2 linked regions of the Lonchura striata genome follow. The protein of the gene in region 1 purifies or fractionates together with the protein of each later gene. This does not show direct contact. Links are inferred from orthologs where the notes say so. Each region holds a gene or a part of one and is shown on either strand. Other genes may lie near its edges. The genes, in order: FOSL2 and cyclic AMP-dependent transcription factor ATF-7.

Region 1 (12,209 bases):
GACAGGGCTTGTAGGACCCACAGCTATCACCACCACTGGTTTGTAAGCCCTGAAATGACTGCATGAAAAATGCACATTCTTGGGTCAACAACCTAGCTTCCCAGAGAAGCGAGAGCCCTTGCATCAGCCTGACCTCAGCTCAGGTAAGCGTCCCAGATAAGGGACACCAACACAGATTTCCTTTTCAGGGTGTGCCTAGTCAAGCACCTTAAGAGCTTTGTTAAAGCAAGGCTACTGCAAATAGTATTTCACATGCTGATAGCTACAGCACTTCAGGCCAGCATTACCGAGCTGCCAACACCTGAAGACCAGGAGAGCCAGTCTGAATACTGACAGCTGCTGACTTACACCTCTGAACAGCTCAAAATCTAGCAAGAAAGGATGAGAGAAGGAAGGAGTGAGTCAAGTTAAGCAGGCGGGGAAATTACACAGAGAGGATGACACTGATACTAAGACCTTGGCAAAACCCACAACAGCACCTCAGAGATTCACTTGGAGCTTGAGTCCAACACAGCCTCAGCTCATCCCACATTCCAGAGTCCATGTCGCCTCCCCCAATTAGTTAAAGAGGCTCCAAGACACAAACTGTCAACACTATAGAATCAGAATTTATGGGTGCAAATCCCCTCCTTTGCTCTGCATGGTGTAGGCTGTGACCACACGGCACAGAAGAGGATGCATTGGTGCCTCCATAAGCAGAACACAAGAGGACCTTAACCTCACAGAAGGGAGGAAGTGCGAGACCAGTTGAACCACAAGCTCAACTCAAGGGATGTGAGCCCTACTTCCAGATCCGCAAGTGGCTTCTACCACCACCATTACCTATCTGTGCCACCCTCCCTTTCATATCCAAAAAGCAGAGAAGAAATGTCCTGTCTTCCTTGCAGGGACACTACAAAGCTATGACTACAAAACATCCAGAGAGCTTCTGGTGCTTTGCAATAGAGATACCACTGGCATTCCAAAGCTAACCTTTGCCTCCAAACACTCAATGTGCTAAAAATTCCCAACAGAGGTTGTGAGTCAGATCCACCATCAAATCAACCATGTACAAGCATCTGACACAAAAATCAGGCTCCAAATATTGACTAAGCAAGTACTCCATTTCCAACCACGCCTGTATTCAACCTAGGGCCCTTCTGTAACACTAGGAGAGGTTTTTGAACAGCAAAGGGGAGCTGCTCAGTTCAGCCACATCCCTCTGCAGCTTCACAATGCTTGCTTGCAGACCTGGGGGAAAGAGACTAGTTCCTCCCTGTGCCATGCCCCATCTCTGTCACCAGCTTCCCTTCTAATAATTCAAAATATCTTAGAAATAAAAAAATAAAAAAAATCCCCCAAACCTGTACTCTGTACTTTCCAAAAGCAGTATTTTTCCTGGATAACTAATTAAGGGACACACTGCTGTGGCAGGTGGAGTCTTCAGACACAGTGTGCTCAGTCTAACACCAGGTTTAACAAGCATTGCTTCCCTGACTGATCAGGCTTTCCACACATACCTCACTTTCCCTGCTAGGACACTGCACCGGATCAGCTCTGCTGTGCCAAAATGCTGCTGAGCCCCACATTCTGCCCAGCAGCCATCAGCTCCGACCTTGGGATGCTGCTGGTTGCAGTGGCATGCCCTGAATTCCCTGTCACCTCCCCAGCACAGCCCCTTTGAGCACCAGCCTCCTCACACAGAAGTGCCAGAACTTCCCCCAAACAGCAGCCCCATCTTTGCTCTCCTCGCCCCTCCTCCTCTCAGAGAGCTTCAATGCCCCTGCCAGCCTGACAGCACTGCCTGCCTTCACCCACCTCCCCACTTCTTCTCTTTCCAGACCCTCTCCTGCCTCCTCCTCTCACAGGACATGCACAGCTGTCCTCTCCTGACCCACGAGAAGCTCCTGGAAGCAGGTCTCTGCCAGCTCTCAGCTCTTCTTCTCTACAAGGAATTCAGTACGCTACAGAAAGATGAGGCGATAGGGAGATTGCAGGGCTACACACGCAGCACGCGCTCAGCCGCCAACCCACCGCTCTCCTCCTGACCCCAGCAAACACACATGAAGGTATCATTAAAAAACCCCAACAACTAAACAGCAAACAGAAAGAGTCCTGTTATTAAGTGTGCCAAGAACTGAGGTCAGTCTCTGCTCTGCCTTAAAAATATGGGGTTGGATGAGAGCCTTCCTTCTCAGATCCACAGTCGGGGGAGGCTCCAGCGAGTCCTGCCACAAGCAGGGACAGCCTATGTTAGCAGCTCACAACTTAGCAGCACAGACAGCATGGGGACATTTCAAGCTTTGGCTTTGTGTTTCCTTGCTCCACCTTAAAGTTTCCGTAGAGCACCCCGATGTGTTCTTTGGTCCACTGAGAAGCACTAGAAACCCGTCAAGAAGTTGGTATAATGGCTGGGGGAAAAGAAGAATCAAACCCAACAACAAAGCGACTGAGAAAAATTCTAGAGCATCTTCAACATTACTCAGTTGTCAAATAGGGTGTATGTGATAGATCTTACAATAAATACAAGACCCTTGATGGGTCTCCTATGTTGAGCAGCTTATCAAAGGAAAACTGGACACAATGCTATAATATCTCAGGGGAAACTTGACCACTCTGAAAGAGTACACAAACTCTACCCATTAAAGTCTATGTTTACCACATGGCAAGTCAGTGATTAGGAAAATAGCATGACACGCAACTTAAAAGAAAAATGTTCCAGTGCTGTGCTCTATGGGAAAAAATAATTAAAAACCATCAAAGTTTTGGCTCAGAGACATAGTTTCCATTTAAACATGTGACTGATGCATCTTTTCTTGCTTTTGGGAGAAAAAAAAAGAGAACACAATAAAGAAAAAATTTCAGCAATGCATATTTTCTGTAGTGATAAAACTGCAGATCTCCATAGACCAGAATCAGCAGAACAGCCCAACTGCTAGGGTAAAGGCAACGCTTACATTTGATCCTAATCTACAACATCTGTAAGGATCAAGGGAAAGACGGAGCACAAGGCCTTAAGAAATCTCCCGGATTCTTAAAGAAAACATTTATGTTCTCGCTAAGCCAACGTCCTGCTCAAAGTCCTGTTTCAGATAGTAACCCTAGAAACTGGGCTCTGGTCCCCGTATCAGCACGCACGCCAGCTGCCCGGGGAAGACGTGGAGCCCCAGAAAAAGGGGAAAACCCAGTTATTGCTCAGCCTGTGACAGCTCAAATGTGAAGCGGTTGATGGAGTTTCTCGACCTCCCGCAGCAAGTGCTTGAATCCAGAGCAGCTGTTAAATCACGGCAGGAAAGGGAGAGTGAGAATTTTGCAGTTTGCCGGGCGTTTCCAGCTTCTCAGTCCCCTTTCCCGCTCCCCCAGCCTGTCCTAGCGTTTACTGTAAACCAGGGAATAAGCTTTAGCTGAGCTAGAATCCCTGGAAACCCAGGTCCGCAGCCCGCAGAGGGCACCAGCGAGATGCGTTTGGAGCAGGCGGGGAGCGGCAGCGAGTCATTTCTGGTAAAACTTCTTTAATGTGAGGAATGTCACGGGCTGGTACGGCTGGCAGAGTTTAAGACTGGACTTTTTTCCTTCTTTTTTTTTTTCTCTTTTAATTATCCTATGACTCCCTGATGTGAAGGCTACACTGCGCTCACAATGCCAGTTCGCTCATACAAGCCACAGAAGAAATAATATTATGAGAAAAAGAAAAAAAGGGGGGGGGGGGGGGGGTGAGAAGCCCAAATCTGAAAAGGCAAAAAAAGAGTGAGGCTGGGCCAGCTGATGTAAACAAGTTATGAAATAACCCAGGTTTGTATAACTGGCCCGATTGTGTAATGCCTTCCCCAGAAGTGGTAGATTTAGTCGATCTAGGCATATAAGTAATTTCGAGGTATTTTCTTAGGAAAATGAAAGGGAAAAAAACCCAAACCACAAGACTGGGCTTTCAGGTCCGTGAATTCACGCCGCTTCCACAGGAAATATTCCCCATTCTCGAAGCGCCGCCCGGTAGTGGGGCTTGAGCGGGGAGCGGGGCCGGGGAGCGCGGGGAACGCTCCGGCGAGCCCCGGGAAACTCCCGCTCGGAAAAAGCCAGGGCCGGCCGGAGAGCGGCCGGCGGAGCCAAGGGGCGGGCGGGCAGAGGGCTGAGCACGGCGGCCGCGGGGTGCCAGCGTGGGCCCCGTGGCAAAGAGTGTCAGCGCCTCGGAGACAAACTTTAACGGGGGAGAAGCGGGCAGAGACAACCGCAGGCGCTGGAAAGACCCAGAGCTCACTTCCAGCTATCCTGCCGTGTTGCACGGCGGCTGCAACAGCTCCGTGAATAACTCGGGCGGCACCTCCCAAAGTCCCAGCGAAGCCGCCCAAAGTGCTGCGGGCGAGCCCCGGGCACCACCCGAGGCAGCCGCGATGAACGTGGACAGCGAGAAGCTCCCAATGAGAACAAAAGCAGGAAGGAGGAAGAGTTCGGTGCGCCCCTGTATTCGCGTTACCGACCTCGCAGAGAAGTCGCCCGCGGTAGCCCTTTGATTGCCGAGCGGGTCCCGGCCCGGCGCTGCGGCGGGTGCCCGGGCTACAGGCGGGGGCTCGGCTACGACACCCGGCGACCCCGCTGCACCCGGGGCCGCGCCAGCGGAGCCTGCCCGCCGGGCGCTCGTCACCGCACGTCCCCGCTCGGCCAGGCCGTGGCTCCCACAACACCGACAGGCGGGGAACTCCGCTCAGCGTCCCTCCGGACGCGTCGCGGCACCGCTCCGGGGCGGGAGGGAAAGCGGCGGCGCCCCGCGGAGGGCGGCGGCACGGAGCGGCGGCTGCGGGCAGCCCCGCGCCCCTGCGGCCGCCGCCTCTCCGCCGGGCGCCCGTGCCTGCACCGCGGAGGAAGCGCCGGCCGCTCCCCGGGCGTGGCGGTGAACTCCCGTCCCGGGAGCGCTCGGAGCAGCCCTCGGAGGGACCGGGGGAGAGGGGCAGTGCCCGGCCCTACCTGCTGTGCTGCGCCGCTCGAGTAGGTCTCGGGGTGTCCCGGGGAGCCGCTGCTGCCTCTGGAGGAGGTGTCGAAGTTCCCGGGGTAGTCCTGGTACATGGTCCGAGGTCGGGCCGGGGGAGCCGCGTCCCCGCCTTCCCACACCGACACCGCCGCTCCCTCGCCGTCTCCCCGCCCCCTTCTCCCTCCCGACCTCGTCGGCGGTTGCCTTTCGCCTCCCAACGCTCGCCGCGGAGAGGGAAAAAAAAAATAATAAAAACGGCTTTGGAGACGAGGAAGAAAGTGGGGGGAAAAGGTAAAAAATTTAAAAAAATTAAAAAAAAATAAAAAGGAAAAAATTTAAAATAAAGAGAAAATAAAAATAATAACAATGATGATAAAAGTGGCTCAGTTGGCAGCGAGCGCCTGCGGGACGGGACGGGACGGCAGGACTCGGCGGCGCGGCGGGAGCAGAGCCGTGCGCGCAAGCGGGCGCTCGCCGATGTCCTCTCTCCGCAATGCCCGGCGAAACTCGCCTCGCCGGCGGAGCGGCTCCGGGCCCGGGGGCTGCAGGCGGAGCGGTTCTCCTCCGCCCCAACAACCTCCTCCTCCTCCTCCACCACCACCACCACACACCGGCCGCCCCTTTTCCCGGCGCGGGGTGACTCAGCCGGGTCTTGCGCCCCGCGGCTCGGCGGCGCTGCGAGCGGGAGCTCCGCGCGCCCGCGGTGACTCAGAGCAATGGCATCGCCCCGGCCGCGCTCGCTTATTATCCGCCCGCCGCCGCCGCCGCACCATGTGCACTCGCACACGTCAAACCCGCGGCGCACCTCGGCAGCGCGGAGCCTCCCACCTGCCGCCGCGGCGGGGGAGGCGGGCCGGCCGCGGGGGGACGGCGCCCGCCCCGGCCGCGCCCGCCGCGCCGCCCGCCCCGCCGCGCCCGCCCCTGCCGGGCCCGCGGTCCGGGCGGCGGGGCAGGGCGGGCGCGGCGGCGGGGGCAGCGCGGCGCCCGGTTCCCGGCAGGCCCCGCCCTCCCCCGCCCCGCTTGGTGCCGTCCGCTGTCGCACGTTGCCAAAAATGGTCATTTGCGTCGCACGACGCGAGCGCGGGTTTCCTTGCCGCGGATGACGCGCTGCGAGAGGGATTCCCTGCCCGGCCGCCGGGATTTAAAGGCACAGGCGCTCCGCTGGCGCGGGGAGGCTGCGGGGAACAGCGCGGGTCCGACCCCGTAGACCGGCCCGACCCGCCTCGGTGTCTCGGGGGGCTTTTGATCCAGCCCTTCTCCCTGCAGGAGGGTGGTCGGCACCAGAGTTGCCCCAGGGCTCGATCCGTTTCTCAGAGCATCAATAAACCGAGCGTTGGACTCGTCTAGTTTTTATAGCATCGTTAAACTACTTCATTTATTTATTTTATTTATTTATATATATTTTATTTTTATTACTTTACATTTTTAATATTTTACATTTCTATTATTTTGCATTTTCGTGGTTATTACTTCTATAATTTTAATTTCTTTTCATTAACTACATTTTCCTTTTGTTTACTAATATTGTGCACTAATATTTTTAAATTTCTCTTTAATTTTAAACTATTCTTCCTATTTACTTTTCATGTAAATTTTTATTATTTTCATTCGTATTCAAATTTGATAACTATTCTTACCTTTCCTCCCTCCCCCCCCACCCCCCTTATTTTATTTTTTAATTATTTAATTTTTACTTTTTAAGTGGACACCTCCATCCTCCTAGGATCTGCAGAGCCACTCTAGGTCTCCAAACCAGAGTATGTCACAGGGACATCAGGTGACAGCCCCGGGCTTCCCTGCAGCAGAAACCCGTGGGACAAGGACTGTCCCAGCCTGCCGCGGCTGGCTCTGGCATTGCCAGGTCACTGACGAGCACAGGCTGAAAGGTGGCAGAAGCAGATAGAGCAGAGCCAGCACACACAGAACGCGGGCTCTGTGCTGATCTGCAGCGAACACAGCAGATTGTTCAAATGCCACTCCTAGACACAAAGTGTCTCATTTCCACCCTCCCTGGAGGATTTGCCCAGCACTGGGCAAGTCCTTTTTGCTAGTAGGGAGGGAGAAGTCATCTAAGTTCAAGCTATAAAATCCCATTTAAGCTGTCTCACGGACAAGGTATTTTCCCACAGGAGCCCATCTAAAAGCAGCGGGCTTTCCTCCACTCACACTGTGCTCCTTGGAAGGCAGTAGCAGCACCCATCTCAACCTTGGAGCCTTCAGGGAACTCTGAAATGAAACACCCCATGGGGGTTAAGTCCTCAGCACTTAGTTCTTTTTTAGCACTGACTTAGGAATTTGGGACTGAAATTCCTGCCGATGCGGTTTAGTTTTCACACCTTCATTATTCAGGCAATTGAAATTGTCCCTCCAAAGTAGCTGGCCTATTTCAGGCAGCACCTGACTTTGGAGGAGGTGGGGAAAGGGCTGTAAAAATATACCCATGTTTCCAACTCGAACTGCACTAGGAGTGAGGGGTGGGGAGGGGGAGAAGTGCTCTAGCAGGCACAGTGAGGCCGTGATGTGTTTTCCCCTTGGGTGGCAGGTGATCTTCACATGCTGCTTTCTGCTGGAAAGAGAATTACTTTGAGATGTGCGAGGAATCAGGCTGCAGTTGTCAAGAGATGAAGAGAGAAAGGGTAAAACAAACATCAAAATAAATAAACTTAACAAAAGCTGTGGCTGGCTTTTGGCTGGTCATCACCCTCTGCTCTGCCTCCCCCTCAGGTGAAGGATGCTGCTGGCTCTGAGGCTTGCCAGATTTTAGGAACCACTGCCTGAGCTCATCAATCCTGGCTCTAGTCCTGTTTCACATCAGGCTGGTGGGCTTGTAGAATCCAGTCTGCTGATCAGCAAGAAATGCAAGAAAAGTATTTGGTGTAGGGAAAGAGTGATGGCCAGAAACACGGAAGCAAGATGGGGGTGCTGGAACATTAGTGTTGCAGCATTTTGCAAGAGGAAAAGAGAGGTGTTTTTCATCCCTCCTCCTAGAATTGTTTCTATACTTTGTCTTCAGCAATTCATTAACCCTAAACTACCTGCCCTCCTCATGTTTCAGCTCATGCTCATTTTGAACGTTGTTTTCAAACCTTATCCCAACATAATTTTGGCACATCTATCCTGTCCTGCAAAAATTTGCATTAGACCTAGTCTGGGAACAGCTCGTTCGAAATGACATTCAAGGGCTGTTTTAATATTTGGCTGCAGCTAATGTGGATGCAATTAGTTGACACTTTTAAATCCTCAGGTAAAAGCCCTGTAAGAAATGCAGGAAGCTGAATTCACACCTGAGGCCAAGCCCTCAGCTCCTGTAGGGTGATGAACCTCCCTGCCGCAGCTGGACTGGCACCACCTTGCCTTCCGAAAGCTCCTGACCCACACCCATCATGTGATGCTGAAGCTTTATTGTGTATTTACATTGACTTCACTGGAGTTTCTTCTGCCCTGGGAGCACAAAACCCTGCTGGCTAAGACAGGCTCACACGTACAGAAGGAATTGGTACATCCCATTGGTAAAAAATATTCCATCCGATTGAGTCCCCTCATTCCCATATCAGCCCCTTTGTAATACTTTTTATTGTTTTGGATTGAAATAACTCAGACTAGCCTGGCTCTCAGTACCCCAGACACATGCATTTTTAATACTCATCCAGACCAAGCTGCATTGTGCAATAGGCTCCCTGCTTCCAAAAAACAAGAGATAACATGTACGCCTGCCTAGTCCATTCTTGCCTGAACCAAAGACGAATTAAGACCAGCCCAGGTTCCAGGGCAGGAGAGGATCATTGTAAGGCAAATGAGACCTTGGCTCCTCACGCTTCTCGATTTCGGCAGCAATTAGGAGCCTGAAACCCAGACCTGGGAATGCTTTTCAGAGTGTTTTTTACGGGAATAGTGGATAAGGGCACTTCACAGCAGCTTAGACTTGGCCCTCGGCAAGCACGTGGCGGGTTGTAAGCATCTCTTCTCCAGCATCCCCAGCACTGCTGGGCTGCCCCAGCCACCCCGTGTCACCTGCCTGAAGGCAAGATCATTGATTTTCAATTTAAAATATATGCAGCCACGATTCTCCTTCTCCTTGCTCTTCTTCCAACCCTTAAGACATCTCCCGTGAAGAAGCCTGCAGTAATCACTTCACCTAAAATGTGTATTGCCACCCGTGTCAGAGAGCTCGGATGTGCTGGGGCTGTTCCTGCAGTGGGGCAGGGAAGCTTCTGGACCGAGGGGTGGCTGCAGGAGAGTCGGGACTGAAGCACACTGGTGGGGTGTGGGGAGCTGCAGGACAACCTAAGACAAATCATACTCTTCTCCCCGTACAATTCCTCATGTCCTGTTTTAAAATTCACTCCCACCTTCTTGCAAATCGGTGCTTTCTCCGTCACCGTTCATTTTTACACAAGTGACTCTTTTGTTTCCTGAGACCTTTTCCTCGAGCTTTCTGCAGAAGCACATATCCAGGGCTCTCCAGCCCTTCCTGACAATTCTGCTTTCATCTGTGCGTTTAGTCTGCTTTCATATTGTCTCTTTAAGTGCTAAGAGCAAGTGTTTTGATGTTAACTCCTGGGAACGAGCTCTTAAGCTACCACCTCATGCTTAATTACAGTTATTTATTAAGTACTCCAGCATATCCAAGGGAGAATGGAGGTTTTCTCCTTCAAAGGGCTTCTGCATGTGGTTCCTCAAACACTTCTTGTCAAGGACAGAGCTTTTCCTATCCATGTCCTCTTGGACCATGGAGCTCTCTCCCCTGCTGATTACCCCAGGCACGGGGCCATGGGCCTCCCCACAGCAGCACAGCGTATCTTTAGGGCAGGGAGGCACTCCCCTCAATTGTTCTCAGGTGACTGCAGCCTCACTGTCCCTGTGTTCAAGCAGACAGCTGGCTCTGCCCCACATTCCCAGCAGGATGAGTGCTGCCATACTGTCCAGTTCAGGGTAATGACATCAGTGCTGCTACCCTTAACTGCTGCCGGGTGATGTGATGGGCATCATTTAACTCTTTTCCAGTCCTAGTTCAAATAAAAGCCTAGGACAAAGCCAGATGCTGTGAGGCTCTTCCCTTTTCTGAAGCAGGGCTGGGTGACAGGGCCTGGGATACAGATGGGGAAGCAGCAAGGCAGTCCTGCAGCAGGATGGGCACCAGACGCCCCTAGCACTGCTTAGTCAGGCTGGTGGCATGGCCATGGTGTGGGAGCAGCAGCCAGAGGTCCCTGCTGGCTCCCACAGGGTCAGCTCTGCAGAGATCCCAGACACCAACAAGGCCAAACTACTTCAAAGCAGAAATGGCTTCAGCCTTCTTAACATGTTCCAGGACAAAGATCCTACCAACCCACAAAGTAGCAGGTGCAAGACACGGATTGGGAACAAAGGCTCATTAGGGGTGACCACAACGCACAGTTTACGGCATTTTGCTGGTGTAGGGAAGCAGAAAACAGCTTCAGGAGATCCCTGCCTTTGAATGAACAAGCTTGCTCCTAGCCCCAGAGTACATGGGATGTGAGAGATGGGAACAGAGATCCCACGAGCCTAGCTCTAAGACACCTTTTGGCACAAGATGAACAGTCTTATCTTGATACCTGTGTTTGTTTGCCCAGCTCCAAACCTGTTTCAGCAGCGTGAGAGTCTGCCTTGCCCCGCTCCTGCCTCCTGCAGAGACACCACCTCTGGTACCAGAAGCCAAACAGTCCAACGAGGCTCATCCACTCTGCAGCCCCCAAAAGATCCCAGGCAGTGCTGCCAGCACAGACCCAGCAGGAGGTCTTTTATGGGATGGGAGCCCTGCCCCGTGGAGCTTGAACATGGATTTTTCCCATTGTCCTGTCTGGTAAGAGACTTGAACGTTTTCTTGCTGTATTTTGTGAACGGAGCCTCACAATCACATTTTCTTGTGTCAGAGCAGTGGAAAGGACTGCAAAACTACCTTAGGAGTAGAAAATCCCACCCCTGCCAGTGCCCCCCACAGCTCAGCAGGACAGATGCTGAGGACTTCTCACCTGAAGTGCCCATGCTCAGGTGCAAACACGAGCAGGCCACAGCCATGCTGCGGAGGGGCACCCAGCCTGTGCAATTGCAGCCTGGGATGGTGGGATGGGCTCTGGTCACCATCCATGTTTCCAGAGTTTCCGAGGTTATTCCCTGAAACACGTGGTGCAGGCCAAGTGGATCACCCAGCTGAGCTTATCAGTCAGCTCATTGTTCCTGCCTGAGTGATTCAGCCCCACCAAAGTGCTCCCTGGCAGCACAGCACCCAGGAGGAGGATGAGGAGGAGGAGGGAGGTGTGCAGTGCACACAGATAGTTCTCCTGATAGTGGGAGGCAGATAAGCACAAGGAACTTAATGGCTGAGCTCAGATCTAGTTGAGGCAGTTTGACCTTTCTGCTGGTAAGCCTGCCTTCAGCTGACATGACAGGCTTTGACACAAGCACTCAGGGGAATTTGTGGCCAATAAGTGAGACTTACTTTCCCCACCAAGTAATATTGATTAGCTCAGTGCCTGCAGACACAGCTTGAGGCAGTGGCGGAGGTTTCAGGGAGGGAGCAGAAGAGACAGCTGAAACGCAAAGGTAGAATTATTTGTTGACTGAACCAGCTAAGTGTCCTTTCTGTCTCCTACCACAATGACCTGTGCACTGCTGAAAACCTTGGAAGAAGGGAGAGTCTTTCCAGTCTGGGCAGTGGCACTGGAGCTGGCTGGTGTCCCCATATGGCCTGGCTCATCTCCATCCCATGGGTGTCCGTGCAATCCAGTGCCTCCTTCCATCTTCCTGAGCCACTTTGTCCTCTGGCATCCCTGGAAAAGAAACATCCATTAGGAGCACTGATGGTTTCTTAGAATGTGGGCATTTAGAACTGAAAACAGACCAAGGATACATCTGAGCACCTGGGAGGGGCTTCTTCCTCTCTTGCCGTCCAGGAGAGGCTCTGGTCCAGCAATCACTCTGTAAGGGTGGCACAGGACTGTGACACCAACCCCAGGTGTGTGCAGCCTCGCTCCGGGAAGCAGTGTGGTGGCATTCCCCTTTGGCTGAGGTCCCCATCCCCTGCAGACCGGTGGTCACTGCTCTCCGTGAGCCTGGTGATTCCAAGCTGGCTACAGTGTTATAAGTCACTATGGAGCATGGAGTGGTTGGATTTCAGCTTCTTGCTGCCTTGGACATCTTGTTGGTGACATCACGAAGCTGAAACGGTGTTCACACTGCAGAAAGTGGCTGCCTGGAGTCTGGTAACACTTAAGTACCAGCAGTACTCACCAGATTCTCTGGGACATGC
Region 2 (12,067 bases), on another chromosome or scaffold:
GTCACCGTCCTGTCACCACAGGGACAGGGACAGGGACATTGTCACCGTCCTGTCACCCACAGGGACAGGGGCATTGTCACCGTCCTGTCACCCACAGGGGCAGGGACAGGGGCATTGTCACCATCCTGTCACCCACAGGGACAGGGACAGGGACAGGGACATTGTCACCATCCTGTCACCCACAGGGACAGGGACAGGGGCATTGTCACCATCCTGTCACCCACAGGGACAGGGACAGGGACAGGGACATTGTCACCATCCTGTCACCCACAGGGACAGGGACAGGGGCATTGTCACCATCCTGTCACCCACAGGGACAGGGACAGGGACAGGGACACTGTCACCATCCTGTCACCCACAGGGACAGGGACAGGGACAGGGACATTGTCACCGTCCTGTCACCCACAGGGACAGGGACATTGTCACCGTCCTGTCACCCACAGGGACAGGGACAGGGACACTGTCACCATCCTGTCACCCACAGGGACAGGGACAGGGACAGGGACATTGTCACCGTCCTGTCACCCACAGGGACAGGGACAGGGACATTGTCACCGTCCTGTCACCCACAGGGACAGGGACAGGGACAGGGACATTGTCACCGTCCTGTCACCCACAGGGACAGGGACAGGGGCATTGTCACCGTCCTGTCACCCACAGGGGCAGGGACAGGGACACTGTCACCATCCTGTCACCCACAGGGACAGGGACAGGGACATTGTCACCGTCCTGCCACCACAGGGACAGGGACATTGTCACCATCCTGTCACCCACAGGGACAGGAACAGGGGCACTGTCACCATCCTGTCACCCACAGGGACAGGAACAGGGGCACTGTCACCATCCTGTCACCCACAGGGACAGGGACAGGGACATTGTCACCGTCCTCCCACCACAGGGACAGGGACAGGGGCATTGTCACCGTCCTGTCACCTCAAAGCAAAGCCCTGACCTCGGCCAGAGCACCCGGACAGGGATTCGGGAGCGTCTGGGCCCTCTTTGGTGGCAGTTGGTGGCTCCAGGACCTCCGGAGCCAAAGGGAAGTCCCTGAGGCTGGAGCGGCCTCCAGAGCTCCGAGCAGCCTCCAGGAGCCCATGGCCACCTCCAGGAGCTCCAAATCACCTCCAGGGAGCTCATGGCCACCTCCAGGAGCCCATGGTCACCTCCAGGAGCCCGTGGCCACCTCCAGGAGCTCCAAATCACCTCCAGGGAGCTCATGGCCACCTCCAGGAGCCCGTGGCCACCTCCAGGAGCTCCAAATCACCCCCAGGAGCCCATGGCCACCTCCAGGGAGCTCGTGGCCACCTCCAGGAGCCCGTGGCCACCTCCAGGAGCTCCAAATCACCTCCAGGAGCCCATGGCCACCTCCAGAGCTCCGAATCACCCCCAGGAGCCCGTGGCCACCTCCAGGGAGCTCGTGGCCACCTCCAGGAGCCCGTGGCCACCTCCAGGAGCCCATGGCCACCTCCAGAGCTCCAAATCACCCCCAGGAGCCCATGGCCACCTCCAGGGAGCTCGTGGCCACCTCCAGGAGCCCGTGGCCACCTCCAGGAGCTCCAAATCACCTCCAGGAGCCCATGGCCACCTCCAGAGCTCCAAATCACCCCCAGGAGCCCGTGGCCACCTCCAGGGAGCTCGTGGCCACCTCCAGGAGCCCGTGGCCACCTCCAGGAGCTCCAAATCACCTCCAGGAGCTCCAAATCACCTCCAGGAGCCCGTGGCCACATCCAGGAGCCTGTGGCCGCCTCCAGGAGCTCGTGGCCACCTCCAGGAGCTCCAAATCACCTCCAGGAGCTCCAAATCACCTCCAGGAGCCCCAAGCCCTGTGAGACCCGGAGCTCTGCCCGCCCCAGGGGCACGACCTGTGCCCGAGCCCGGCACAAACGCAGCGCCAGGCCCAAACCCCGGCAGGAATCCCTTCCCGTTGCCGCCAGGGCGGAGGCGCGGGCAGCAGCAGCAGCTCCGGGGCGATCCATCCCGGCCGTGCCGAGATCTACGGCGGCGCGGGGAAATAACTCAGCTTTACGGGAGCAAGGGGAGGCCTCGGAGAGCCGCTGCTCCGCGCCCGGCCCCTCATTACCCCGCGGCCGCCGCGGCCTCGGAGCGCGCAGTATTTTATACCTCGGAAATGCCTGAGCGACCCAGAAACTGGAGTCCCATTTCCTGAAATTATTTCGCCACTTCAGAGCCCTTGTTTCAATGAAAGCTGCTGCAAACGAGGCACGAGAGCCCCGAGCTGAGCTGGAACATATTTTCCCTGCCGATGTGTGTGGATGGTTTGAAGGGAAGAGCAAAGTCAGGGCTGCGAGGAGCGCGGGGTGAGAGCGAGCGCCTCGACAAAACCCTGCCCGTGAACCCAACAATGGGGCCAGGGAGCCCCACAGTGCCCTCCCCGTGCCAAAAACCTCCTGTGGCACCTGGCATTATCCCATCCCACCTTCGTTCAGCTTTCGGGGGGTTTTGGGGTGCCGCTGTTTGATGCACGAGCCCTAAAAATCTGAGGGGACAGAGAAATGCTCCAGGGTCTGCAGAAATGGATTGCAGAAAGGGATTGCAGAAAAAGGAGTGCAGAGAAAGGAGTGCAGAGAGCCCAGGTGCTGCAGCCACGGTTTGAGCTGTGCTTTGTGGGCAGCAGAGCCCCCATTCCCGACAGGAGCTCCCAGAACTCCAAGTGAAGCTTCACGAGATGGAGCCACCAGCATCCTAAAGGGATCCTGCGGGTTTTGGGAACAGGGAGATGCCAAAAAAACGGGAAAACAAAGGAAAGGTGAGGGACAGCCCCAGGAAAAGGGGGAGCATCCATTGGGAATTCCTCAGCACCTCCAGTGTTTCCTCCCTGGCTGCAGTTTGGGAAATCTGGCCTCGGTTCACAGAGCCAGGAATGGGAAAAAAAAGAGGGGAAAGAAAAAGAAGTGGGGGAAAAAAGAAGGGGGGAAAAAGAAGGGGGGGGAAAAGAAGGGGGAAGAACTAAAAAGAAAGAAAAAGAAGGCCCCAAGAAAGTCCGAGGATAAATAAACCCAAGCAGAGGCGCAGCAGCATCACGTGGGACGCGGCAGAAAACGAGTCCAAAGCCAAAGGCAAGGCAGAGCTCCTTCCCTGACACCCAGAACGGCGCCGTGGGCACGGGCCTGGCCCGGGGACCCTTCCAGCCCGGGGATCCTTCCAGCCCGGGGATCCTTCCAGCCCGGGATCCTTCCAGCCCGGGATCCTTCCAGCCCGGGGATCCTTCCAGCCCGGGGACCCTTCCAGCCCGGGATCCTTCCAGCCCGGGATCCTTCCAGCCCGGGGATCCTTCCAGCCCAGGACCCTTCCAGCCCAGGGACCCTTCCAGCCCGGGGACCCTTCCAGCCTGGGGACCCTTCCAGCCCAGGGACCCTTCCAGCCCGGGGATCCTTCCAGCCCGGGATCCTTCCAGCCCGGGGATCCTTCCAGCCCGGGGACCCTTCCAGCCCGGGGATCCTTCCAGCCCGGGACCCTTCCAGCCTGGGGACCCTTCCAGCCTGGGGACCCTTCCAGCCCGGGGACCCTTCCAGCCCGGGACCCTTCCAGCCCGGGACCCTTCCAGCCCAGGGACCCTTCCAGCCCTGGCCCGGAGCGGCCCCAGCCCGGCCTCAGCACGGCCTGCCTTGCCCGGGATGCTGCCAGCAGCTCCCAGGGTTATTCTTTCCTCTCCTCCCCAGGACCAGCAGCTCCCAGGGTTATTCCTTTCCCTCCTCAGGACCAGCAGCTCCCAGAGTTATTCCCCAGGACTTTGAGCAGCTCCCAGGGTTATTCCCCAGGATGTTCCAGCAGCTCCTGGGGTTATTCCTTTCCCTCCTCAGGACCAGCAGCTCCCAGGGTTATTCCCCAGGATTCTGAGCAGCTCCCAGAGTTATTCCCCAGGACTTTGAGCAGCTCCCAGGGTTATTCCCTCTCCTCCTAAGGACCAGCAGCTCCCAGGGTTATTCCCCAAGACGTTCCAGCAGCTCCCAGAGTTATTCCCCAGGACTTTGAGCAGCTCTCAGGGTTATTCCCTCTCCTCCTAAGGACCAGCAGCTCCCAGGGTTATTCCCCAGGACCAGCAGCTCCCAGGGTTATTCCCCAGGACTTTGAGCAGCTCCCAGGGTTATTCCCCAGGCCGTTCCCCCCCTCAGCAGGGACACCGCAGCCCCAGCCGGTTCCTCTCTCGGGTTCCCCATTTCCCAGCACGAGGGGGATTCCCACCCCACATCCCCCCGGAATCCCCCCTGCGCCGGCTCGGGGGTTTGGAGGGAAGGGGAACAGCGGCAGGGATCAGGGATCGGGAGTTGCCTCCCAGCAGGGACCCCCGGCCCTGCCCCGAGCAGGGAGGGTCCCGCGCCCGCCGGGTGGGCAGCCCCGAATTCTCCTGCTCCCAGAGATCCCAGGGCTCTGCTGCACAGCCCAGGGATGCAGGAAAACACAGACAAATCCCGGGAAAAGGCTGAAATTCCCAGTGGAACAACCCGCGGGTGTCCCACGGCTCAGGAGCACCCCGAAACCAGGAACTTTTCCACAGGAACGGGGCGGGTTTGGGGCTCCCAGAGCGACTGCGCCCCGAAACCCACCCGGGCACAGCAGCAGGGCCAAAACCCCGTAGGGAGCGGAGCCAGAGAGACCCTGGCACAGAGAGACCCCTCCCCACCACAGAGACCCCTCCCCACCACAGAGACCCCTCCCCAGCACAGAGACCCCGGCACAGAGACCCCTGTCACAGAGACCCCTCCTCACCTCAGAGACCCCAGCACAGAGACCCCGGCACAGAGACCCCTCCCCACCACAGAGACCCCAGCACAGAGACCCCTCCCCACCACAGAGACCCCTCCCCACCATAGAGACCCCGGCACAGAGACCCCCAGCACAGAGACCCCTCCTCACCTCAGAGACCCCAGCACAGAGACCCCTGTCACAGAGACCCCTCCCCACCACAGAGACCCCAGCACAGAGACCCCTCCCCAGCACACAGACCCCAGCACAGAGACCCCAGCACAGAGACCCCTGTCACAGAGACCCCTCCTCACCTCAGAGACCCCCAGCACAGAGGCTCCCCATGGAATCCCCCTCCCTTGAACCCCCCACCCAAAACCCCTGCAGGCGCTGCCCCTGTTTGCACCCCGAGACCCCCAGAGCCCCCCAGCCTGCAGCTCCCTGCAGAGCCCCAGTCCCCCGGAACCCCGGGGCTCCCCTGAGCCCCCAGACCCATTCCTGGCTCCTCTCAGCCCCCAGCCCCATTTCGGGGTCCTATCAGCCCTGAACTTCCCCAGCCCCACTCCTGGCTCCCCTCAGCCCCCAGCCCCATTTCGGGGTCCTATCAGCCCTGAACTCCCCCAGCCCCACTCCTGGCTCCCCTCACCCCCAGCCCCACTCCGGTTCCCCTCACCCCCAGCCCCATTTCGGGGTCCTGTCAGCCCTGAACTCCCCCCGCCCCACTCCTGGCTCTCCCAACCCCACTCCTGGCTCCCCTCACCCCCCGCCCCACTCCGGTTCCCCTCACCCCCAACCCCATTTCGGGGTCCCCCCGCCCCACTCCGGCTCCCCTCAGCCCCAGCCCCATTTCGGGGTCCTGTCACCCCTGAACTCCCCCAGCCCCACTCCGGTTCCCCTCACCCCCCGCCCCACTCCGGTTCCCCTCACCCCCAGCCCCATTCCCGGCTCCCCCCGCCCCATTTCGGGCTCCCCTCACCCCCAGCCCCATTCCGGGCTCCCCCCGCCCCGCCCGGGCCCCTCGCCGCCGCGCGGCCCCGCCCCGTGGGCGGGGCTTTCCCGCCTAGCGGCGCCCCCCTCTGCCGCCATTGGCCGGCGCTCCCGCCGCTCAGGGGCGGCGCGCGCCGCGATTGGCCGAGGCGCGCCGCCACTCAGCGCGGGGGCGGGGCGGGCGGAGCCACGGCCGCACGAAAACTCGGGGAGAGTTGTGGGGGGAGGGGCCGGCCGCGGCTCCCGCCGCCCCCGGGGCCGCCCCGCCGCCGCCGCCGCCGCCACCGCCGCCCCCGGGGCCGCCCCGCCCCGCCGCCGCCGTTACCTGAGGGAGCCGGGCCGGGCCCGCGCGCCGCCGCCGCCGCTCGCGCTGGGGCCGCCGCCGCCCCCCCGCCCCGCGCGCCCGGCTCTCGCGAGAGCCGCGCGCAGCTAACGGCGCCGCGGCCAATGGGGCGCCGCGGGGGCGGGGCCTCGGCGGCGAGGGGCGGGGCTGCCGCGCGGGGTGGGCGTGGTCAGAGACAGGCCCCGCCCCGGGGCCCCGCGGGGAGCGCGACACGTGCGGGCAGGGGCGGGACCGGGACAGGCCAGGGATAGACCGGGATAGAGCCGGGACAGAGCCGGGACAGGCCGGGATAGAGCCGGGATAAACCGGGCTAGAGCCGGGATAGAGCCGGGATAGACCGGGATAAACCGGGATAGAGCAGGATAGACCGGGCTAGAGCGGGATAGACCGGGATAGAGCCGGGACAGACCGGGATAGAGCCGGGACAGACCGGGATAGAGCCGGGATAAACCGGGATAGAGCGGGATAGACCGGGATAGAGCCGGGACAGACCGGGATAGAGCCGGGACAGACCGGGATAGAGCCGGGATAAACCGGGATAGAGCGGGATAGACCGGGATAGAGCCGGGACAGACCGGGATAGAGCCGGGATAAACCGGGATAGAGCGGGATAGACCGGGATAGAGCCGGGACAGACCGGGATAGACCGGGATAGAGCCGGGATAGAGCGGGATAGAGCGGGATAGAGCCGGGATAGAGCGGGATAGAGCCGGGATAGGCCGGGATAGAGCCGGGACAGAGCCGGGACAGGCCAGGGATAGACCGGGATAGAACCGGGACAGGCCAGGGATAGAACCGGGATAAACCGGGATAGAGCGGGATAGACCGGGATAGAGCCGGGACAGACCGGGATAGACCGGGATAGAGCGGGATAGACCGGGATAGAACCGGGACAGACCGGGATAGAGCGGGATAGACCGGGATAGAGCCGGGATAGACCGGGATAGAGCCGGGACAGAGCCGGGATAGACCAGGATAGAGCCGGGATAGAGCCGGGATAGACCGGGATAGAGCCGGGACAGAGCCGGGATAGACCGGGATAGAGCTGGGATAGAGCCGGGACAGACCAGGATAGAGCCGGGATAGAGCCGGGATAGACCGGGATAGAGCCGGGATAGACCGGGACAGAGCCGGGACAGAGCCGGGATAGACCAGGATAGAGCGGGATAGAGCCGGGATAAACCGGGATAGAGCGGGATAGAGCCGGGATAGAGCCGGGATAAACCGGGATAGAGCGGGATAGAGCCGGGATAGAGCGGGATAGAGCCGGGATAGACCCGGGACAGAGCCGGGACAGGCGAGGGATAGACCGGGATAGAGCCGGGATAAACCGGGATAGAGCGGGATAGAGCCGGGATAGAGCCGGGATAAACCGGGATAGAGCCGGGATAAACCGGGATAGAGCGGGATAGACCGGGCTAGAGCGGGATAGAGCGGGGATAGACCAGGATAGAGCGGGATAGACCCGGGATAGAGCCGGGATAGACCCGGGACAGAGCCGGGATAGAGCAGGATAGACCGGGATAGAGCGGGATAGACCGGGATAGACCCGGGACAGAGCCGGGATAAACCAGGATAGAGCCGGGATAGAGCCGGGATAGACCGGGATAAACCGGGATAGACCGGGATAGAGCCGGGATAGACCGGGATAGAGCCGGGATAAACCGGGATAGAGCGGGATAGAGCCGGGACAGAGCCGGGATAGAACCGGGATAGAGCGGGATAGAGCCGGGACAGAGCCGGGATACACCGGGATAGAGCGGGATAGACCCGGGACAGGCCAGGGATAGACTGGGACAGAGCCGGGATAGAGCCAGGACAGGCCATGGATAGACCAGGACAGAGCCGGGACAGAGCCGGGATAGACCCGGGATAGACCCGGGATAGAGCGCGATAGACCCGGGACAGAGCCGGGACAGGCCAGGGACAGAGCCGGGATAGAGCCGGGACAGAGCTGGGACAGAGCCGGGATAGACCCGGGATAGACCTGGGACAGAGCCGGGACAGGCCAGGGATAGACCGGGATAGACCCAGGATAAACCGGAATAGAGCGGGATAGGCACGGGAGAGACCGGGACGGACCCGGGACAGGCTGGGACAGACCCAGGGAAGCCCCGGGGGTCTCTCAGTGCCCCCCCCGTCTCAGCCGCTCCGTGTGCGCATGCGCGGCGGGGCCGTGCGCCCCCTGCCGGACGGGAGGACCCGGGCCGGGGGGCGGGGCCGGGGGCGGGGCCGCGCGCGCCCTCTGGCGGGAACGCGGAGCAGCGCACGTGAGCGCGCCTGGGGCGGGGGGGGTGGCACCGTGTCCCCAGGTGTCCCCAAAACGTCCCCAGGGTGTCCCCAAGATGTCCCCAGGGTGTCCCCGTGTCCCCAGGTGTCCCCAAAATGTCCCCAGGTGTCCCCAAGATGTCCCCAGGGTGTCCCCAGGGTGTCCCCGTGTCCCCAAGATGTCCCCAAGTGTCCCCAGGTGTCCCCAAGATGTCCCCAGGGTGTCCCCAGGGTGTCCCCGTGTCCCCAAGATGTCCCCAAGTGTCCCCAAGATGTCTCCAGGTGTCCCCAAGGTGTCCCCAAGGTGTCCCCACCGACACTGCCACTCCCCCTTGGGGACACTGCCACCCCCCTTGGGGACACTGCCACCCCCTTTGGGGACACTGCCACCCCCCCTTGGGGACACTGCCACCCCCCTTGGGGACACTGCCACCCCCCCCTTGGGGACACTGCCACCCCCCCTGGGGACACTGCCACCCCCCCTGGGGACACTGCCACCCCCTTTGGGGACACTGCCACCCCCCCTGGGGACACTGCCACCCCCCTTGGGGACACTGTCACCCCCTTTGGGACACTGCCACCCCCTTGGGGACACTGCCACCCCCACCCTGGGGACACTGCCACCCCCATTTGGGACACTGCCACCCCCCCTGGGGACACTGCCACCCCCCCTTGGGGACACTGTCACCCCCTTTGGGACACTGCCACCCCCCTTTGGGACACTGCCACCCCCTTGGGGACACTGCCACCCCCTGTCCCCTCCCCGGCGGCGCTGCTGCGGCGGAGCCGTCCCGGCCGTTAATTAAAGCAGGGCGGTAATTAACGGCCGTTAACGGGAGCCCGGGGCCGGGGGGCTCCGGCCCAGGGGGGGACCCCCAAACCGCGGCCCCGGGACCCCCGGGCCCCCAAATCCCCCCAGCCCCGGTGCCGCCCCCTCCCCTTTTCCAGTTTCTGTTTCTCCTTTTCTCCTTCCTTTGTTTCCTTCCCCATTTCGGCCGCGGCTCCGCCCCGAGACCCCCGGAGCCCCCCAAGACCCCCGAGACCCCCGGAACCCGGAGCCCCCCAAGACCCCCGGGACCCCCGGAACCCCGGAGCCCCCCAAGACCCCCGGGACCCTGGAGCCCCCCAAGACCCCCGGAGCCCCCCAAGACCCCCGGAACCCCGGAGCCCCCCAAGACCCCCGGGACCCCCGAACCCCGGAGCCCCCCAAGACCCCCGGGACCCCCGAACCCCGGAGCCCCCCGGGACCCCCGAGCCCCCCGGAGCCCGGAGCCCCCTCCCCAGTTTGGGCGGCCTGGGGGAAAATGGGGAGCACTGGGAGGGGCTGGAGGGGACGGGGATGGGGACAGGGATTTGGGGGTTCTCTCCCAGGATTTGGGGGTTCGGGGACAGGATTTGGGGTTCTCTCCCAGGATTTGGGGTTCTCTCCCAGGATTTGGGGGTTCGGGGACAGGATTTGGGGTTCTCTCCCAGGATTTGGGGTTCGGGGACAGGATTTGGGGTTCTCTCCCAGGATTTGGGGTTCGGGGACAGGATTTGGGGTTCTCTCCCAGGATTTGGGGTTCGGGGACAGGATTTGGGGGTTCGGGGACAGGATTTGGGGTTCTCTCCCAGGATTTGGGGTTCTCTCCCAGGATTTGGGGTTCGGGGACAGGATTTGGGGTTCTCTCCCAGGATTTGGGGGTTCGGGGCCGGGGCCGGGGCCGGGGCTCCCTCCCCCCGCACTGCGACGGGAAAATCCAATCCCGCAGCGCGAGCGGGGAAAGATAAAAAATAAAACCGGGAATAAAAGCCGGGAGCGAGGCGGGGACAGCGGGAAAGGTCACCCGGAGCTTGGGGACACGAGGGGACACGAGGGGACACGAGGGGACAGTCGCAGCCCCGGGCTGACCCCGGCCCTGCCGTGCCTCAGTTTCCCCATCCCAGCTCCCTGCCGGATGTCCCGGGCGAAAATCGGGGGGAAAAAAAGGGAATTTGGACCTGGGAGAGGGGAATTTGGGGCTGGAAAAGGGGAATTTGGGTCCCCAGTGTCCCCAAATCCCCCAACCCCCCAGTGCCCCCCGTGCTGCTCGGGGCTGTCCCCGGGTGTCCCCGGGTGTCCCCAGGTGTCCCCAGGTGTCCCCGGGTGTCCCCAGGTGTCCCCAGGTGTCCCCGGGTGTCCCCAGGTGTCCCCGGGTGTCCCCAGGTGTCCCCGGGTGTCCTCGGGTGTCCCCAGGTGTCCCCGGGTGTCCCATGGGTGTCCCATGGGTGTCCCCAGGTGTCCCCAGGTGTCCCCAGGTGTCCCCGGGTGTCCTCGGGTGTCCCCAGGTGTCCCCGGGTGTCCCATGGGTGTCCCCAGGTGTCCCCAGGTGTCCCCAGGTGTCCCCGGGTGTCCCCAGGTGTCCCCGGGTGTCCCCGGCTGTCCCCAGGGTGTCCCCAGGTGTCCCCGGGTGTCCCATGGGTGTCCCATGGGTGTCCCCAGGTGTCCCCGGGTGTCCCCGGCTGTCCCCAGGGTGTCCCCAGGTGTCCCCGGGTGTCCCATGGGTGTCCCATGGGTGTCCCCAGGTGTCCCCAGGTGTCCCCGGGTGTCCCCAGGTGTCCTCGGGTGTCCCCGTGTGTCCCCGGGTGTCCCCAGGTGTCCCCGGGTGTCCCCAGGTGTCCCCGGGTGTCCCCGGGTGTCCCCAGGTGTCCCCGGCTGTCCCCCCAGGTGTCCCCGGCTGTCCCCGTGTCCCCGTGTCCCGTTTGTCCCGCGGGGAGCGCAGCCGCGGGAAGGTTTCCATGGTAACGGGCGGAAAAAAAACCCAAAAAAAACAGAAATATGGAAAAAATACAAAAATCCCAAAAAAGCCCCAAAAATCCCCAAAAGCCCGAAGAGCCGCGCGGGGCGGCGGCGCCATTTCCATCGGCACGGGAGAGAAAAAGGAGCAAAAGGAATTGCGGAGGGGGAGGGGAGGGGAGGGGAGAGGGGGGAGGGGAGGGGGGGAGGGGAGGGGGGGAGGGGCGCCCCTCGCCCCCCTCGGGCCCTCCCTGGCACGGGCCGGGCACGGGGAAACTGAGGCAGGGGAAGGAGAGGCAGCCCCGGGAGGAAGGACGGGCCCAGGGAGGGAGAAATCCCTTTTTCCCCCTTTTTTTCCCCCCTTTTTTCCCCCTTTTTTCCCTTTCTCCCCCCTTTTTTCCCCCTTTTTTCCCCTCCTTTTTTCCCCTTTTTCCCCCCTTTTCCCCCTTATTTTCCCCTTTTTTCTCCATTTCCCCCCCTTTTTCCCTATTTTCCCTTTTTTCACCCTTTCCATTTCCCCCCCATTTTCGCCCATTTCCCCCTTTTTTTCTCTTTTCCCTGCCTTCCCCCTTCTTTCCCCTTTTCCCCCCACCTTTTCCTCTTTTTCCCTCCTTCCTTCCTTCCTTCCCACACCTCAAACCCCAAAAATCCCCCCAGCACCCAAATTTTCCCCAAAAAACCCCAATTTTCCCCTGAAAATTCCAATTTCCACCCTCAAAATCCCACTTTTTCCCCCCCCAAAAATCACGGTTTTCCCCCCCAAAATCCCAATTTTCTCCCCCAAACCCCAATTTCTGTCCTGAAATCCCGATTTCCCCCCAAAATCCCGATTTTTCTGCCTCCTCTCCCCTCTCCCGAGCAGGAGGTGAAGCCTCCGCCGAGCCCGGCCCGGCCTCCGATCCATCATTTTTATTTCCTGCTCTAAGTGACAAATTGTTCCGGATTTTACACCGATCCCTCCAGGCACGGGGGGCTGCGCATGGCATTTTTTCCTTTTTTTTTTTTTTTTT

The links.
Region 2: the proteins of FOSL2 (region 1) and cyclic AMP-dependent transcription factor ATF-7 purify together in Homo sapiens (affinity purification with mass spectrometry; 3 studies listed by BioGRID and IntAct, counting the BioPlex papers as one, with this or other methods). This does not show direct contact. The link is inferred for Lonchura striata from reciprocal best matches to the Homo sapiens genes FOSL2 and ATF7.

Annotation. Positions count from the first base shown.
Region 1 is NC_134605.1:6,834,342-6,846,550, reverse strand, and holds the start of FOSL2 (fos-related antigen 2), read right to left. Parts: upstream 5,607-12,209; 5' UTR 5,038-5,606; coding exon 4,939-5,037; intron 1-4,938.
Region 2 is NC_134629.1:8,198,521-8,210,587, forward strand, and holds the start of cyclic AMP-dependent transcription factor ATF-7, read right to left. Parts: upstream 6,070-12,067; 5' UTR 6,017-6,069; intron 1-6,016. UniProt on the Homo sapiens protein: Stress-responsive chromatin regulator that plays a role in various biological processes including innate immunological memory, adipocyte differentiation or telomerase regulation.